3 linked regions of the Caenorhabditis elegans genome follow. The protein of the gene in region 1 interacts with the protein of each later gene in a pairwise test. Each region holds a gene or a part of one and is shown on either strand. Other genes may lie near its edges.

Region 1 (7,600 bases):
GGCACTGTAGAAGTGCTTTAGGGGTACTGTAGAGCTGTTGTATGGGCACTGTAGGGATTCTGTAAGGGCCTGTAATGGGGGGGGGGTACTGTAGGGTACTGTAGTAGTACTCTAGAGTACTGTAGGTTACTGTAGGAGTATTGTAGGGATAGTGTAGGAATTCTGTAGATGTACTACAGGAATACTGTAGGACTACAGTAGATCTTATGTAAAGTTAATATGGAAGTACTGTAGGTGCACTACAAGGGTACTGTAGGGATACTATAGGGATACTGTAGGGAACTGTATGGGTACTGTAGGGGTACTGTAGTTTACTGTAGGATATTGAACAAAATTTTAAATTCGAAAAAAAAATTTTTTTTGATCGATGCACCATAACTTTTGTTGTGAGCCGAAATTAATGTGCACATACTACCAAAAAATCCAATTAACTCTTAATAATCTGCTGAAAGCCTTAAAATCCTTAAAACCTAACTTGAAATAATTACAGGGATGGACTGAAACATTTCGCGACGCTTTTGGTTCGGTGACGTCACGTATGGTACCTTCTAGGTCGGCACAACGACTTTGAATTCTTCATTTTTCTTCGGTTCTTTAATTTTCTGTATTTTTGATGGATTTTTCTCATATTTTTTTCTCTCATACTCTGTTCTGCTCATCCCAAATATGCTTTCAAACCAAAAGTTTACCCCGGCCCCTCACTTGGCAATATTCTTCAATCCACCGATACATTTTTACTTGTACAATCCCTCTTTCTGTGTAGCTTTTTCAACATCTGTGACAATTTTTTTTTGTTTTGTAGAATTTGATTTCTTTGAAAAAAGGTTTTTCTGATAAAAATGGAGTTTTATAACAAGTTTGGTGGAATGAACATGGTGCATCGATAGGTCGCGAAAATTGTTTGGCAGGAAGCTAGGCAGGCAGGCAGGCAGGTAAGTGAGCAGGTAGGCAGGCGGATAGCCATGTAGGTATGTAGGTACACCAATAGGTATGTAGGTAGGTAACCAGGCTGGTATGCAGGCATGCAGATAGGAAGGCCGATAGGTATGTAGGTAGGTAGCCAAATTGGTAGACAGGCATGAAGGCAGAAGACAGGTATTCAGTTAGGTAGGTAGGCCGGTAGGTATGTAGATAGGCAGCCAGGCTGGTAGGCAGGCATACAGGCAGATAGGTGTTTAGGTGGGCAGGAACGCCTATAGGCATTTAGGTAGGTAGGATGGCCGATAGGTATGTAGGTAGGTAACCAAGCTGGTACACAGGCATGCAGGCAGATAGGTATTAAGGTAGGCAGGTAGGCCGATAGGTATGTAGGTAGGTAACCAGGCTGGCAGGCAGGGGTCATACTGATAGGTAGGTAGGAACGCCGATATGTATGTAGGCATGCAGGCAGATAGGCATTTAGGTAGGTAGGTAGACAGGCTGGTAAGCAAACTAATAGTTGTTCAGTGAGATATTTAAAGTTTTCAATAGAAAATTTTAAAAAAATTAATTTGAATTTCTTTTTGCAAATTTTTTTTCTAAATTTTTTTCATAATTTTTTGCCTGTTTTTGCCCTTTTTTGCCCCAGCCAATTTCAGCTTCAAAATAGCAAATTCTTTCCGATTTTCCATAGAAAATCTATTCGATCAGAGTGTCGGTTGCTCAAAAATTCAATAAATAATTAATGCGCCCCGACTTATGATGAAGTAAGCTTCTTCTAACCTTGTGATTTTGGGAAAGGTGGGGGACTATTCTCATATTTCAACTAGTACTACTACTACCATCTGACACCGAATACCTTTCCAATTAGTGATTCTCAGGTGGTATAAATTGGCGAGCTGCAATACGGAGATATGCCTTTTATTTTTCGGTTTCCGGTGATTTTGCTAATTTTTCGATGGGTAAGTGAGAATTTTCTCGGTTTTTGTAATTATTCTGCAAAATTTGAATAAAAATTGGCCGCGCTACGTAGGCCAATAGTTCGTTGGGGCGCGTTTGCAGCAGTTCTTCGAATTTTTTAGTTTTTTACGAAAAACTCGTTAACTACAGTTTGAATTTGTTTCTTTCACAAAAACATTAATGGAATTTCCGCAAGCGGCAAACGATTTTTTCCGGCAAACCGGCAAATCGGCAAATTGCCGGAATTGAAAATTAATGGCAAATCGGCAAATTGCCGGAAATTAAAATTTCCGGCAAATCGGCAAACCGGCAAATTGATTTGCCGAATTTGCCGGAAAAATGGCAAATCGACAAATTGCCGGAATTGAAAATTTCCAGCAAATCGGAAAATTGCCGGAAAAACGGCAATTGCCAAAAATTTTCCGAAAATGTGAGGTCACACGAATTTCACAGCGCGCGCTCAAATTGGCGCAATTTCTGTAGATCAAATATCGTTTTCAGGCCGAAAAGACACGGCAGCCGTGAACTGTGAGATTTGTGGAGACAAGTCTTACGGTAGACACTATGGAGTATGGGCATGTGATGGATGCAGTTGCTTTTTCAAGAGAAGTGTACGCAAGAATATTATCTATACTTGTATTGGTTAGCTTTCAGGCCGGAAATTTATATTATCTGAAATTATATTTCAGCGGGAAATTGGAAGTGCGTCGTGGATAAAGGCCGAAGGAATTGGTGCCCGGCGTGTCGGCTTGCAAAATGCACAAGGTTGAAGATGAATAGACTCGGTGAGTAATAGGCTCAGGCCTAGGTGTAGGCCTAGGTGTGGGCCCAGGCATAGGCTTAGGATTAGACATGGGCCTAGGCTTAGACTTGGGCTTAGTCTTAGGCTTAGTCTTAGACTGAGGCCTAGGCTTAGGCTTAGGTGTAGGCCTAGGAGTAGGATTAGACTTTGAATCAGGAATAGTACTAGGCTTATTCGTGGGCTTAGGCTTAGGCTCAGTCTCTGGCTTAGGTTTAGGACTTGGCTTGGGCATAAGGTTATGCTTAGGCTCAGGCTTATGATTAGGCTTTGAATTAGTCTTAGGCGTAGGATTAGGCTTCGGCTCAGTCTTTGGCTCAAGCGTAGGATTAGGCTTTGGCTCAAGTCTCTCTTCTCTCTCTCTCTCCCTTTCCTAGAGTTTCAAACATTTCCGAGTCAAAAATAATATCAAGTTGCGACCCGATTTATGAATTCACAAAAATAACTTGAAATAGTCTAATATGTACACGATGAAAATTTAAATATACTAATAAAAAATATGGCGAAATTATTTGACATGAAAATTATCTTCTTATCCATCACTCCAGCGTGATTGTATCGTCGTGGCAGCTGCGTGCCTCCTCCTGGAACAGCTCCAGAGTTTCCGAGAAGCCGTCCTCCTCGTACTCCTCCGGCTCTGGCACAGACAGCTTCCGCGATCTTCTCGGCACCACGAACGTCCTCTGAAGGATCCTTGAGAGTTCCGGCTCCACGAGCTCAGCACCAGTGTCCTCAGAATCTCCGAGAGTTCCAGAGCTTCCGGAAGCGTTGTCGTCGGGAACTGTGAGCTCCATCTGAGAATGGTCATCTTCTGCTGGAGCGAGCATCTTCATAGTCCGGTCGAGCTCCTCCTCGGTGATTTGTGCTCCGGCTCCTTCTGGCTTTGCAGCTTCCTTGGCGAGAGCAGCAGCTCGGCGACACAACGCCATCATCGAATGACTGGCCAACTTCGGTGGGAATCGCATTTTCATCACTTGCTGACAGTCGGCTTCGCTTTGCAACGTCTCCAGAAGTTTGTCAAAGAGATTCCAGAATTTGTACGTCTCGGCGAGCTGGAGACGAAGCGAGAAATCCATTGACTCATCGAGTGAGAGCCAATTTTCGCAGCGAGCCATCACAAAATCCACGCCAAACCGTGCAGAAACCGTCAGAAGCGACTCCACATTCTGTGCTGTGATTTGATCCGTGTTGTGGTACATGAATTCGAGGAATTTGAGGAAATCCTCGGAAGAGACGTCCTGAATTGTGATCTCTGGATCTCCCGGGGTGGCGAACAGAGACTGGAAGACCCGCGAATGTGTGGCGAGATACTGAAAATAGTGAATTATTACACAAAAATTTTAGTAGTTTTCACAAACCTGCTTCCCCACGTGGAACTTCCGCTCCTCCACCACCACGATTGCGTCGAACACGAGCTCCTTTGGCATCGAGAAGTCCATTCCAGCCATTGTCTCGTTAGAACTGCTGGCGGTGCTGAAAAATCGAGTTTTACTTTGAAAATCCAAGAAAAATAGGCAGAAAATCGGCAAAAAATGAAGAAAAATCGAGTTTTACATTGAAAAAAAATGGCCAAAAATCGGAGAAAAATGGGCAAAAAACGGAGAGAATTGATGACAAATCAAAGAAAATGGAAAAAAAGAAGAAAATTCTGGAAGTGCAATGAAGCGCAATTCCCGCCGGTGTTTGCGTATTCTGCGCAATTTTCGTTTGACCTACGTAGGTCAAATCGAAAAGGGGCACTCTGACACCACCGGAAAACCCGATAAATTTCGGGAAACCGATAAATTTTTAGAAAAATCGAAAAATTACTGGAAAACCAATTGATTTCCAGAAAAATCAATAAATTTGCAAAAAAAAAATTGAGAAAATCGGAGAATTTTTTTTCCGTAAATTTATCGATTTTTTGGTTAATGTATACACTCAAAATAATAAAACTGCGTGGCGTGTACTGCAGAAAACCTCATATTTAGGCCCCGCCTTTTTCTCGTCCACTCACGGAGAAAAGGCAAAAATTTGGGGACCAACCAATATCAGGCCGCCGACATCCTACGGGTTCCGCGCGCCGCTATGTTTAACTCGCTGTGGGCGTGGTGCTGTCTCCGCCCGCTGCGAGTTAAACAAAGTTTTCACAAACCTGCTTCCCCACGTGGAACTTCCGCTCCTCCACCACCACGATTGCGTCGAACACGAGCTCCTTTGGCATCGAGAAGTCCATTCCAGCCATTGTCTCGTTAGAACTGCTGGCGGTGCTGAAAAATCGAGTTTTACTTTGAAAATCCAAGAAAAATAGGCAGAAAATCGGCAAAAAATGAAGAAAAATCGAGTTTTACATTGAAAAAAAATGGCCAAAAATCGGAGAAAAATGGGCAAAAAACGGAGAGAATTGATGACAAATCAAAGAAAATGGAAAAAAAGAAGAAAATTCTGGAAGTGCAATGAAGCGCAATTCCCGCCGGTGTTTGCGTATTCTGCGCAATTTTCGTTTGACCTACGTAGGTCAAATCGACGCCCGCTGCGAGTTAAACAAAGCGGCGCGCGGAACCCGTAGGATGTCGGCGGCCTGATATTGGTTGGTCCCCAAATTTTTGCCTTTTCTCCGTGAGTGGACGAGAAAAAGGCGGGGCCTAAATATGAGGTTTTCTGCAGTACACGCCACGCAGTTTTATTATTTTGAGTGTACGAAGCTGTAATGAAAAGAACCTTACATATATCTACAGAATTGAGACTCTTCGCACCAACGCCCCTGGGTAATATTAATTTAAAAATTGAACAGAATGTGTTGTCAATTTACGTTTTTAAATAGTGTTTTCTTTTTGCTTAACTGATATATCAAGTTCAATTCAGCTGTCCAAACTGAACGAGGACCTCGGAGGCTTCGATGCCTGCAGCTGAAACATACCAATAACCCCATCTCTTTCAAATGTAAGTCTATACTCGGGTAATTCATCAAAACTTATACACCAACTTAGCCTTGCATAGCCTTCTTTCTTCTAAGTTTGACTATTACAAAATTCTGAGAATGCGTATTGTGCAACATATTTGACGCGCAAAATATCTCATAGCGAAAACTACAGTAACTCTTTAAATGACTACTGTAAAGCTTGTGTCGATTTACGAAAATCATTTTTGATCGATAAAATATTAAAAATTAATAGTAAGCAAAAAAATGAACAAAATAATACGAAAAATCGAAGAAAAATGGAATATCGCTGTCACTTTTGGAAAATAAATTCATTTCGAAAGTAATTAAAAGAGATACTGTAGTTTTCGCTACGAGATATTTTGCGCGTCAAATATGTTGTGCAATACGCATTCTCTGAATTTAGTGTTCACGTAATACTTTGGACAACTTTATCCAACTTTTTTCAATCAAATTTAGCAACTTCTACGCTTGGCATTTCTAAAATTGCTAAAGTTGGTGGATAAGTTGTAGATTTCTTCTCTTATTCTCAGGTTTTTTTTTCCATTTCCAGATGACTCGATATTCTCGAAATCCGTAATCCTTACATCAAAATGCTTATTGCTAAACTTCATGTCCCAACAGGAACGTCGAGAAGTTGTTGAAGAAAACTGCCAAATCATATTTGCCCTATTGATATTGGCCAGTGGAGATGAGGCAGTACTAAGCAGGTTTCCAGTAAGTTTTTGGGTCTCACAGCGAATATTACCGTAACCCATTTAAGCCGCCAAAACCTATCCCGCAAAAAGTGCATTGTGACCCAGAACAACTACGGCTGACTATCTGCATACTTCTCTCCCAATCCAGTAAGTTTCAGATCCCCTTTTATTTATGCTAGATCTAGCTAGATATTAATTTTCCAGCCAGTCCCCTTCTGAAATTCGCTGCACCTTTGGAAAACTTTTATAAATGTTGTCTATGGCGGTACTCCTTCACAAATGACTCTATCGAGACAGCTACACAACTAATCAATACAGTTACGTGGCTCTATGAAAACGGACCATGGGAGATGTCAAGTTTGCTCCGAAGCTCCATGAGCAGTCTTATTACTGAAGTCTTTGAATCAGATAATGTTGAATTGTTTTGATTTTCAATTGATGGATGAATAAATGTTTTAATGAATTTACCGGTTTGCAATTTGCCGATTTGCCGGAAAACTTAATTCCGGCAATTTACCGGTTTGCCGGAAATTTTCAATTTCTGCAATTTGCCAATTTGCCGGAAATTTTCATTTCCGGCAATTTGCCGATGTGCCGGTTTGCCGGAAATTTTCAGTTCCGGCAATTTGCCGGTTTGCCGATTTGTCTGAAATTTTCAATTCAGACAAGTTGTCGGTTGGAATGTTTGTCGGAAATTTTCAATTCCGGCAATTTGCCGATTTGCCGGAAATTTAAAGTTCGGCAATTTGCCGGTTTGCCGATTTGCGAGAAATCTTAATTCCGGCAATTTGTCGATTTGCCGGAAATTTTCAATTCCGGCAATTTGCCGGTTTGCCGATTTGTCTGAAATTTTCAATTTCAGCAATTTACCGGTTTGCCGGAAGTTTTCAATTCCGGCAATTTGCAGGTTGGCCGATTTGCCGGAAATTTTCGATTCATGGCAATTTGCCGATTTGCCGGAAATTTTCATTTTCGGCAATTTGCCGGTTTGCCGATTTGCCGGAAATTTTCAATTTCGGAAATTTGCCGATTTGTCGGAAATTTCAAATTTGGGCAATTTGCGGGTTTGCCAGAAATTTTCAATTCCAGCAATTTGCCGATTTGTTGGAATTTTCAAATTTGGGAAATTTGCGGGTTTGCCGGGAATTTTCGATTCCGGCACTTTGCCGGTTTGTCCATTTGCCGGAAATTTCAAATTCCAGCAATTTGCCGGTTTGCCGAATATTTTAAATTCCGGCAACTTGCTGTAATTTTCACTACAAACATCAAAATTATAGACTAAAACCAGTATTTATTGGTTACATG
Region 2 (6,210 bases), on another chromosome or scaffold:
GATGATCTCGAGACACTTTCACCTCTTCTGCCCCCTCTTTTGCCCCTTCCTGAGTTGAGAACCGGTTCCAAATTCTGCCGATTTGCGATTCTCTCTCTCTCCTTCTGCGCATCAGAAGCTGAAGGCATCACCGAGCGTCGAGACTGTGAACACTTTTCCTCTTTTCTACCTCCAAAAAGTTACATAATACAGTTTTTTTGGAGGAAAGGTGTAAGGGGGCAGAAGTCATGATTCATTCGAGAGTGAACGCTAAATGAGATGAGGAGAAGGAAAAGCTGGTTTCGAAGAAGGATCAAGGTTACTGTAGTTATCAAGTAACCACTTGATCATAGGTTTTAGTTTGGAGTGTGCTAGTCTAGCAGAATTGCACATAACTTTCGATATCGTTGGGCACATATTTTGACTGTTTTAGAGTCGCCATGTGCATATAGTGCCCGACTTCGTTGACGATCTGTACATCGTGCATCGTAATGTCTATGAGGTACCTGCTGAAAGCATGACAAATTAACTGTGTAGGCAAAAGTTAGGAGCTCTTTTCTTTAGAAATAAGCATATTTGAGAGTTTCTTCAGTTAAAGTTAACCCAATATTTTGTTGTTACTTTTTTGATATCGAACATGGCAAGGTTTTTCACGGTCAGAGATTTTGAAATGTTCCAAAAAATACCAAAGTATGCATCAAAAATATAAGCCACCTTTTTTCAGTTCATTTAAGAATCTATTAGAATTAGAAATCTATGTTTGTCTAGATACCTTGCTTATTTCTCATTGGAAATACAATTATCTTTGTTATATTCAGAATTTCAATAGTTGAGTTTCATGTCTAACTCATCCCAAAATTCTTGTTTATCCAATTTCCCATGCAATCTAGCCACCTCAATGTACCAAGTTACTTGCCTCCTTTCGGAACTCTGCCGCAAATAACTTGGCACCTCGTGGTCCTTTGCAAAGTGCCGTAGAGGCGGTCTAGACACGCCTTTTTCAGGACGGGAGGCGGTGGTTGTAAGGAGGAAGATATACTTGTTACCATTTAGTTTTTCTCATTTCTGTTTTCTTGGCACCCTTTTTGATATTCTTTTCTATATAGTATTGTTTCACTTTCTGTACTTGGGTTTCCAAGATGAATGCTCTCTAAATGTGTCAAACCTTTTGCTCTCTGAAAACTTCCATTTCCAAACCATTTCTCTCATGACATGCCAATCTACCGTACATATACACACAGTAGTAGTACATCATCTCGTTTGGCCAATGCCAATTACAATTACCAAATGTCAAACCATTACATCATGCGAGAAGCCTCACTACCGCACTCTCGAAGTACACAGCTTCTGCTTCATTCTCCTACTTCGTTTTTGCCCCTTTCTAAAAATACCAGTTTTCTGATGCTTCTCCCCCTTATTCTATTGTGTTGTATTGTTATGTCATCACTCTTGTCATTGGGTTGTACAACATCCCTTTTCTCGAGAGAGAGAGAGAGAAATGAAAATGAGACAGAAAGGCAGTTTGACCTGATCATCTCGAAGAAGAATCAGTCAGGCTTATCATCAAAAATTGAATAGATTAAGCTCCTACGGTCATTTGCTAATTAACTTATCCAGCTAGAATCGTGGTAGTCATGATTGTTGATATTTAAGTTCTTATTTTGAATTTTTTCCTTTCTTGCCGTCTCTCTCCTTTTCCATACTTTTGCACATGTTCCAGCTTTTCTCCAGGAAAAAATTATCAGTGCTGGCTCTTATCAGTAAGCAAGTGACCGGCAACTAGAACCCTGCTTTACTATTACTTGAAAGTTTCTAATTGTATAGTTGGTTACGTTTCTTTTTGGAAAAGTATACTCTTGGTAGATTCTACCGTATACTTGTATCCTAAAGTATACTGTACTAAAGATACACTGAACGCCACCTTGTCTATCTCCTCGTAGAAATCTCTCATGGAAACGGATCGTAGACATCTTTGAATCTCTTATTCTCTCTAACTCTCGTTCTTTTTGGATTTTCCCTATATTTTCTGCCGAAATTCGGTCTCCTGAATTTCACTTTCTCTTACCTTTCTCTTTTAATTTTTCCACTTTCCGTTTCAACAATATTATTTTTCGTATTACTTTTTATTTCAGATATCAAATGGATCTCCAAAAACCGCCCAACTTCATGCTGGATTGTGGAATGGCTCCGCATATGATGCCGCCGATTAACTGGGCTGCGGCCGCAATTGCAGTAGCCTCATCGACTTCTGGAGCCACAAATGCCACATCGTCTAACTCGGTTGCCACGTCACAACAATTACAACATCATCCATATGGGACAGCAGCTGGAGGCTATAAGGTTTGTGATACGGTTTTTTTGGTTGTAAATATTGAAACAATGGGCTTTACACTTTGATAAGTGATAAGCTGTCAAAAGGACATCAGGAAGTGGACACAGCCCTTTTTGTAATAATTTTTTAGTAAACAAGGTAATAAATTTAGTAAAAACAAAAAACATGATACTTTGCACTGGTCATCTTGTTATCTTATTTTTTGAAACTTCTAGAGTGGAAGAGCAACAAATTTGAAAACTCTTTTCTTATCAGTTACTTGACATTTGCACTTTTAGAAATGTTCTCAACCTAGAAGTACCAAAAAATTAAAAATTGCTCTGAAACAAATCCATACATTTTCAGCATGCACAACAAGCGATTCCCAAATCAGTGACCCCGTATTCGGATGCAACAAATTGCAAAAAGTCATCAAATCACATCAAGCGACCAATGAACGCTTTTATGGTTTGGTCTCAAATGGAACGGAGAAAGATTTGTGAGCATCAGCCAGATATGCATAATGCAGAAATCAGTAAGCAATTGGGAAGTCGTTGGAGAAGTTTGACTGATGAGGAAAAAGCTCCATTTGTTGCTGAAGCTGAGAGACTCAGAGTTTGTCATATGCAGGTTAGTATGGGAGAATATAGTTTAATTCAATTCAATATTGATACCGAATTTTCTATATAAGTAAGAAATACAGTAATAATTTTTGAACAAGTGTATTTTCACTAAATAATTTCAAAACGTATTGTGCTGATAATAGAGGCTTCATACCAATCAAAAGTTTTCCGTAATCGGCATTTTCGGAAATTCAAAAATACGACAATTATCGAGTTCAAAAAAGTTAAAAAAAAAGAGAATAATTTGAAAAAAAAATTTGAATTTTGAACGAAAAACAAATTTCTACTATAGTCAGTGTAGGAGGTAGGTGAAACAATATAAGCTTTTCATTAAAAACTAAAAATTCCAATATTTTATTTTTGGTGATTTTCCGAATCTCAGAAATTTTTAAATATTCGACGTTTTTGGCAACTGCCAAATTATCAAATTTTAGAATATTCAAATAGTAGCTTACCTCTGTGCCACACAGGAAATACTGTAACCGGATTTTTCGAATAATTGTATTGTAATTTTAAATTTTTTCAGGAATATCCAGACTACAAATACAAGCCACGCAAGAAGCCAAAGAAGAATCCAGATGGAACACTTCAGCAGCCAGCTCAACCCCAAGCTCCACAACAGCAACAGGCCCCACCACGTGGAGCATCACCACAGGCTCGTCAACGAAAACGTCCAAACACAGATCAACAGTCAGAAACACAACAATTCCAAAACTTTAAATCAGTGAAAGTGGAGCAAGATTGGATGGGAAATGCTCATATGAGTCATGCACAAAAGATGCCATTTCATCCATCGTATCCATCACCTTCCGAGTTTGGACATGCTCCGTTGACACCTGAATCTGGATTTTATGATGACTATTTTACACAGCAACATCATCAACAGCATTTTGCATCACAACATCATAATTCGGCAGGAAGTCCCCTCAGAATGGTTAGTTTTTATAGATCACGAAATGCTTGGAAAATTCAATATTTTCAGACGAATCTTGGTATGGACATGGGAATGCCACCACAAATGATGGGGCATAATTCGGGATTTGGAGCTGGTAATCATCCTTTCTACTTGCACACTTCACCACCATCAGTTGATCAGGTACGGGTTGTCTCTTTTGCATGAGATTTTGTTTGAAGCACTTTTTGTTTGGGAGTACGGTAGGATGTAGTGGCTAAAAATTTAGAAAATTGCCAAATTTTATTTTCTGAAAGGTGGGGAATTTTATCTTAAAGAAAATAATTAATCACTCAAAATACTTTATATTTGTCAAAATTTTCAATCAAAGTTTTGCAAATTATCAAATTTCCGAAGAAATTTAACTTTATGAGAAATTGTTCGAGCCCTTAGAATTTATAGAAACACTTACTTGTGATTCAATTTTTACTTAGGTTTAGTACTTAAAACCCGTTGACTGTAAATTTTAAAAAAAGTTCAAAAATTTTTGAATTTTTCTGAAGTGGATTAAGTAGTTTCTAATACATTGTCGATATTTCATCTTTTATATTGAAAAACATTTAAATCATAAAATTCTTAGTACTGGCCATTGGATTTTGAAAATTTATATTATTAGTCCTTTTAGCGTAAATCCTACCGTACTCCATTTTCCACTACAATCCCTTCCCAGCATCCATGCTTAACATCCTAATAACCGCTTGTTTTCCTTCAGATACCTAACCCAATGATTCAGAATCATAATCTTTATAACATGTACCACTTCGCACCATCACCAGCACCAACTTCAACACCACCAGCACAATATCCTCATGAAATGTTCAAAACTCATGAGTTTCAGGACGACATGCGTAGTCTATCGTCTGGATCTTCGGGATACGCCGACTGTAGTGCTTCTGAACAATCAACGTCATCACCAAACTCGGCGGGAGTCGTCACAATGGCTACGGCCGCTACGACTACAACACATTTGGATGACCTGGAGCAGATTTGTCCAACTGTAACCACAGGCGAGCTGGTCAATTATCCATGGAGCGATGCATTGGGAATTGATATTAATTTTTCTTGAATATTTCAGACAAGTTTTTTTTTGAAAACTTCTGAAAGTTCGGGTAGTAAGTAGATCGCTACGTCCAAATGTTTTTTTTCACTGTTTCTTCTGAAAGCCCAACATTTTCTGCTCCTACCTCAATTCTAGCCTCTCCCCTGAAACAATTCTCTCTTTATCTCTCTCCAACAATTTTCGAGTGTCCCTTTAGTCCGGTCTTAGTACCTTTTAATCCCCAGCATTTTCTAGTTATTTACCACCTTTTTCTGTATTTTTCTCTTTGTTTTCCAGTATTTCCTCAACAAATCCAAGCGATTGTATTCTTTCATTTCTTGAAACCCTAAGAGTATTTCTACAAATCCAAAAAGTAATTCACTAATTTCAAATTGAAAGTATTCTTCTACAAAAGTATCGTCCCCATTTCTTTACCCATTTTTATCCTCTCCCAGCTTTACCGAGCCAGTTTTCATTCGTTCTTTCAACTTTCATCGATTACCCAATTCGCCGTTGTACTTGAAAAAAAAAATTTCTGAGATTTCAAGCACGAAATTATGATTGTATATGTTGAACACTTCCCCCCATCCCCTGCCCTCTACAATATGCCAAATGTAGCTACCCTTTTTCCCAAACCTGAAGAAATATTTATTCTCTTGTTCATCTCTAAATATCTCTTATCCTTTTTCACTCATCTTTCCAAATTTTCAGTATTGAATGAATTTCTTCCTCTTGATTTCATTTATTATTGATTGATTTATGTTTGTCTCCTTTTTCTGAGCAATAAAAATCATTTAAAAAATTAACTTGTTTTTGATTTCAAAATACATAGATTTGTGGAAATAATATACGTTTAATTAATTTTTTCTGTTCTGTAAATTAAAATTCAGGTAAATACCTAGCAATTTTCTACTATTAATTAGTTATTGGCAGCTGCGGCAAGTGTGTGACACAAATTGAAAAAACTTCCCTAAATAATGTCTCGTAAACAGTCTCGTAAAATATGTATGACATATTACAATTTAACATAACAGTTCAATCCTGGCCTGAAATCAATTTTTGTGCTGGTAGAACAATTGCTCCGTGAATACTGCAATAACCGAGCAGTCGGGAAGCCGCTTTTCTGGAACCTCTTGTTTTTTTTTGCAATGTCATTCTCGGAATTTTGGCACTTTTCTGAAACCTGCTTTAAAAAGTCACACCCTGTTTTTGGCTCCAACAGCTTTGAAAAAAAAACAACCTTCAAATAAATAGTGCATTCTATCATCCGTCCTTCACAACCTCAACTTGTCGGCATGTTTCTTTT
Region 3 (4,842 bases), on another chromosome or scaffold:
AAATACGGTTATGTTCTTTAGGTATATTTACAAAAACTATGATTTCTTTGATAATTATTTAAAATTCAGCCACTGCAAAATCATAGATCAAATCAAAAGACCCGGAAAATAATTGTTTTCCAAAATATCAGCACATTTAGGAAGTACAATTCCAACAAGAATATATCCTAAATTGGCGGGAATCGAGAAAAGCATAACAAAAAAATAGATTCAATATATATGAAGAAAAATGTTTCAGATAACTTCATAACACAAACATCAATTGATCATGAAACGCGTGTTAGATTTGATTAACAAAACATGTTAACGATGTTCTTGGAACTACGCTGATTAGCAGAAAAAGTTGGTGGGAAATGTTGTTTAAAGTTTTTGAATACGCGACACGAAAAAGGAAAGTGAAAAACTTTCATAATGCTCCATCCAAGCACGTTCTTTAATTTGTGTTTATGATGGTGGGAAAATAGAAAAAGTGAAAAAAAGAGAAGAAGAAAAAGATTCTCAGATGTTCTCTAACAGAAAATGTAGATGAAACTAGAGAACCAGAAAAGCTCAGAGATAAACATCAAAAAGAAAATATTAGAGCAGATCAGTCTTCCACGAGCAGAACGTCATGAATATGTTCTTTAAAGATTAGTGTCAGGTTTGATGGGAATTGGCTGAAACTAGGGCTTCATGCGCCTCATCGGAACTTGGCTTGCCTTCACGGCAACCCTTGCCTGCCTTGTGCCTAGAAATATTAATAACTCATGAGTTAACACAATTCGAGCGCCAAACATCGTTGAATCAAAAATATGAAGCCAGGAGGGGCGGGTAGGTTTGAGGCAGGCAGTGGATCCTGAGGATGCACCTCTCTAGATAGATCTACTATGGGTAACCTAGCTAAAACTGAGTTCAAAATGACTAACTACCTACAGGTTCCATTCTAAAATTGAAACAACTTCTGCAGAAAATGAGAACAAATACTAACAGAGATTCGCCTGAATATTTCATCAAACATATGACTGTTTCGCAAGAGTTGCCATAGCCTCTTTCATCTCATTACCCATGCATGTTATGGAACAGAAATCAGAGCCTAAAAACTGAAAGATGGGAAGGAAAAAAGGGGCAAAGTGTGTGTCAAAACATTTACGAAAGCCCGATGACTCATTCCAAGAAATGAATGGGAACGGATAGAACGAATGAACAAAATATGTCTGGATAAAATGGAAATTAAGAAACCAAAGTTCGAGAATAAACGCATCGAAAATTAGTTCAGCTCACGTAGCTAAAAAAAATTTCAAGACAAACTTTTAAACATCTTCTTTGCAAAAATCTTGATAACGAGAAATTCGACGTAAAATAGAGAAGCGAAGGGCCGGGATAAGCCATTTGTAAGATCATTTTAGATTTTTTATAGCATTCGATCGTTCAAAATCAATTTTAAAATAGCATTGTTTGAACTTTTGCTTGAATTTTCTGTACTTATAGTGTGTTTTGTATTTTCGTATTGTACTTTTGTCAATATGACTTCGAAGAACGTTTTCAAAATACCTAACTATAAATTTCGACAAAACCTTAAAAAACCCAAATAGTGTACTAAAATGATCTGATGAGCTAATAATGAAACTTCCGAAAGGAACAGCTGTTAGTCTTATCATTTGGCACAATCAGGTCGAACCAATGAAATATTGCTCTCAAACCAAGAGAGGGCGGAGAGACATATTGTGGTGATTTATTAGGTAGTTCTTGTGAAAAAATGTCGGGTTTGAAATATGTTAAATTTCTAGATGAAGGTTTTAGAGAAATGAGGTTTGTCGGATTTGTATACCATAATATATTTAAGCTTTTTTTGAAGGATTTGAATAATACAAATCTTCAAAGTAAAGCTAGGGGACAAGCTAGAGTAGGAGGTAGAGATTTTCCAAAAAAACATAGTTTTACCGTTAATTGCAATTTTAAATATTAATCAAGAATTTAGGTTTAATGAAAGTTCAAAAAATTTACCAAGTTTACAGAATATGGTCTAGGAATATATATATATATATAGTTTCAAGTTCCTAGATCCTAACCCTAATGCCTCTACACTTCCGCTAAACTAGGCATATGCGTTTATCAACAAAAAACAGTTCGAAGAAAAGAGACCATATAAGACGAAGAGACGCAGACAGTTGCCAGATGGAACGGGCGGGAAAAGCTGTGCGCCGCTTCGATCACTACAGTAGCTGCGTCGTTGGAATCGAAAATCACGTGTCAACTCGATTTTTTTTTCTCGATCACTGCGTCTCTCTCCGAATTAGAGTCTCGCTCGTAGTTTTTGTGATGATTAAAATGTAATGATGAACATTCATAAAAGTGGGCGGAGCCAGGATTATACCGTTTACTCTATTTTTAAGTGTTTTATGTCCAGTTGAAAGGAAATTGTTGCATAGAAAAACTTTCAATTTGGTAAGAAACAATATGATTTAATTTTACAAATCATTTAAGAAAAATACAAAACAATTTTAACAACCACCTGTTTTTTTTGGCACGCGTCATAAACTTTTTATGGGTTCAAAGAATTCATATTAAACATAGATCTACAAATTGATATAATGTTTTGACAAACAACTTCATCAATTAACGATAAAATCACGAGATCACAAATGTTTGGTAGTTGTAATTTGGCATTTTGATAGTAGTGAAACTATAGTTTTGTAACCATGATTGTCCATTTCCTATTGTGACAGGTTTATCATCAAGTATTCCAAAACTTTTGAACTAGACAAACAAACTAACCCTTTTTGGAATTTTTCCTTCTTCGAGTTGGAGCTTTTGGAGCTTTTAGAACAACTTCTGGAGATTCTGATGATGTTGATGAGGATGGTGGTTCCTCTTGATCCTCTTCCATTTTTGTTTTATTTTGATTTCAAAACCTTTTGACAAATAAGAATTGAATAGAGAGGAAGAGAAGTTGATGACGAATCGGTTGACGACGATGGCGATGGGGGTTAGTCGGCGGGGGCCCCGAGAATGAGTCACACGCACACTCACTCTTGTCTCTTTTCCTCTGCTGACTCGTTCTTTTCCTTTTTCTCTCTTTTTCTATCTCTATCTCTTTCTCTCTATTTTCCAGATCCATGACATCCATAGACGCAGATAGACAAACGAACATTGAAAGAAAACATTGAAAATTGAGAGAATCCAGAAGTTTCTCATTCTCTCTATTTTTCATTCTCTCTTTCCACCACCCAATTGACATTTAGAAAGGTAAATGGAGAGAGAAAGAGAGGAAATGGATAAAGTTCGCAGAAAAATGTTACCGTAAATAATGTGTCAGTGTGCTTGCTTCACGTTCTCCGTCTCTTTTCCCTCATTTCTCTCCGCTCCTTTGACTTCTGTATTTGCCTTTCCATCAGCCACTTATCTTTTTGGAAGTTCATTGGCTTTTTCAGAGCTCATCTTGTTTTTCATTCTTTTTAGGCCTGACCTCATTAGTCTTTTACCCATAGATCTTGTTTATGCACCCAATAATAACTAAAATATAATACGTTTTTTGCAGGGGTTTGAAGCTTTCTGATCCGGTTTTTCAAATTAATAAAAACCGAGAGTAATAAAAACTCATGTTTCAGTAAATCCAATTTTGGAAGTCGACCAGAAAACATTTTTTGGAAAATTTGGCAATTTACTAAAACTGTTAATGAACATTTTACTCTGGAGTGTTCGATTATGACATTCGAGAATTTTGTCTGCACATACTTCAACTAGACCAGAAATACTCTAGATCATTTTTACAAAATCTAAACATATTTTGATTTTCTTTTTGAAATTGTTTGAGGTTTTGTTTTTGGCACAATGCAAAAAAAAGGTTTTTTTTCAAAGTAATTTATACTATTTTTGCATGTTCGGTCCTAGATCTTTCATATTTGTAATACGTGATAACATATTATTAGTAATAGCCAGATTTTGACTACAGTTACAAACATTTTTTAATTTTTTGAACTGTTTTACCATGTTATTCAGCATACCAAACAACTCGTCTAGATATCAAAACAAGTTTTATTCAAGGTAACATACCGTGTACCATACCATTTGGAAAGTACGGTAGATATCAGTTCATTGCATTTGGGAATTTGTATCGCATTTGCAAAGTTAATTTTGATTGGTAGATTTTTTTCGGCACTTGCACTTAATTTTTTCATAGAAACACCGTAATTTGCATAAGAATAGTCATTCGGCCTAACACGATCGATGCTAATTATCTTTTATTATTACTAACTTCATGTTTTATTTGGCTTATTTGTGCTGATATCTAGAGGCTTTTGAATTGTACATTCGTGAACCAGGAATTGGCCAAGTTTTGCCAATTTCGGAACCAAGTTGGGTACGAAGTTTCGAACATAAATCTGAAAGTGTTTCATTGGTCTCCAATAGTCATGATTTGTGATTCACTTTCCAATTTACAATATCAACAGTAGTATCTACTCATAATTGATAACTTCGTATTTTCTCTAATCATACTTATGTCTCTCACGATTCCATACAATTTCGCGTTCGTTATGGTTGTCTGCTCATCTTTTTGTACACGGTCATCAAAATGAAATCGGAACGAAAAAGCAGTCACAAATTCGGAAATCATTGCAAAAAAATGGTGGGAGTAAGAATTGAGAGATTAGTGGAAATGGCATCACATCAGAATCAATTTGAATTCTCTCTTTTTTTGTGTTTCCTCTGCCCACCCATTCACATTTCAGGTGATTTCGAGAACAAATTACGTCGAAAGGGAAACGCCTGGCTGAAAATAAAAAATTCAGAAAAAAAGGAAGAAAATAGAAAGTGCACGCACCGGCATACGTAATAAGGAGCCCCTCATCTAAATAATATTTA

The links. Proteins that work in one complex are often made in the same cells at the same time.
Region 2: the proteins of nhr-239 (region 1) and sem-2 interact in a two-hybrid assay, tested with the Caenorhabditis elegans proteins (one large-scale study listed by BioGRID).
Region 3: the proteins of nhr-239 (region 1) and jun-1 interact in a two-hybrid assay, tested with the Caenorhabditis elegans proteins (one large-scale study listed by BioGRID).

Annotation. Positions count from the first base shown.
Region 1 is NC_003281.10:2,559,834-2,567,433, forward strand, and holds nhr-239 (Nuclear receptor domain-containing protein), read left to right. Parts: upstream 1-1,876; coding exon 1,877-1,880; intron 1,881-2,379; coding exon 2,380-2,520; intron 2,521-2,567; coding exon 2,568-2,663; intron 2,664-3,085; exon of another isoform or gene 3,086-3,216; coding exon of another isoform or gene 3,217-3,987; intron 3,988-4,035; coding exon of another isoform or gene 4,036-4,125; exon of another isoform or gene 4,126-4,150; intron 4,151-5,521; coding exon 5,522-5,599; intron 5,600-6,150; coding exon 6,151-6,314; intron 6,315-6,360; coding exon 6,361-6,442; intron 6,443-6,499; coding exon 6,500-6,723; 3' UTR 6,724-6,762; downstream 6,763-7,600. Other genes in the region: feh-1 (Protein Fe65 homolog), read left to right, coding at 491-571; Y54F10AM.11 (BTB domain-containing protein), read right to left, coding at 3,217-3,987, 4,036-4,125.
Region 2 is NC_003279.8:5,204,030-5,210,239, reverse strand, and holds sem-2 (Transcription factor sem-2), read left to right. Parts: upstream 1-2,111; 5' UTR 2,112-2,118; coding exon 2,119-2,319; intron 2,320-2,656; coding exon 2,657-2,920; intron 2,921-3,439; coding exon 3,440-3,847; intron 3,848-3,895; coding exon 3,896-4,009; intron 4,010-4,703; coding exon 4,704-4,931; 3' UTR 4,932-5,710; downstream 5,711-6,210. UniProt on the Caenorhabditis elegans protein: Probable transcription factor required for embryogenesis, vulval development and cell fate specification of the postembryonic mesoderm (also known as the M lineage).
Region 3 is NC_003280.10:9,111,315-9,116,156, reverse strand, and holds the start of jun-1 (Transcription factor jun-1), read right to left. Parts: upstream 3,001-4,842; 5' UTR 2,867-3,000; coding exon 2,755-2,866; intron 1-2,754. UniProt on the Caenorhabditis elegans protein: Transcription factor that recognizes and binds to the AP-1 non-canonical enhancer heptamer motif 5'-TTAGTCA-3'. Required for ovulation. Controls plc-1 expression in the spermatheca to regulate spermathecal valve dilation.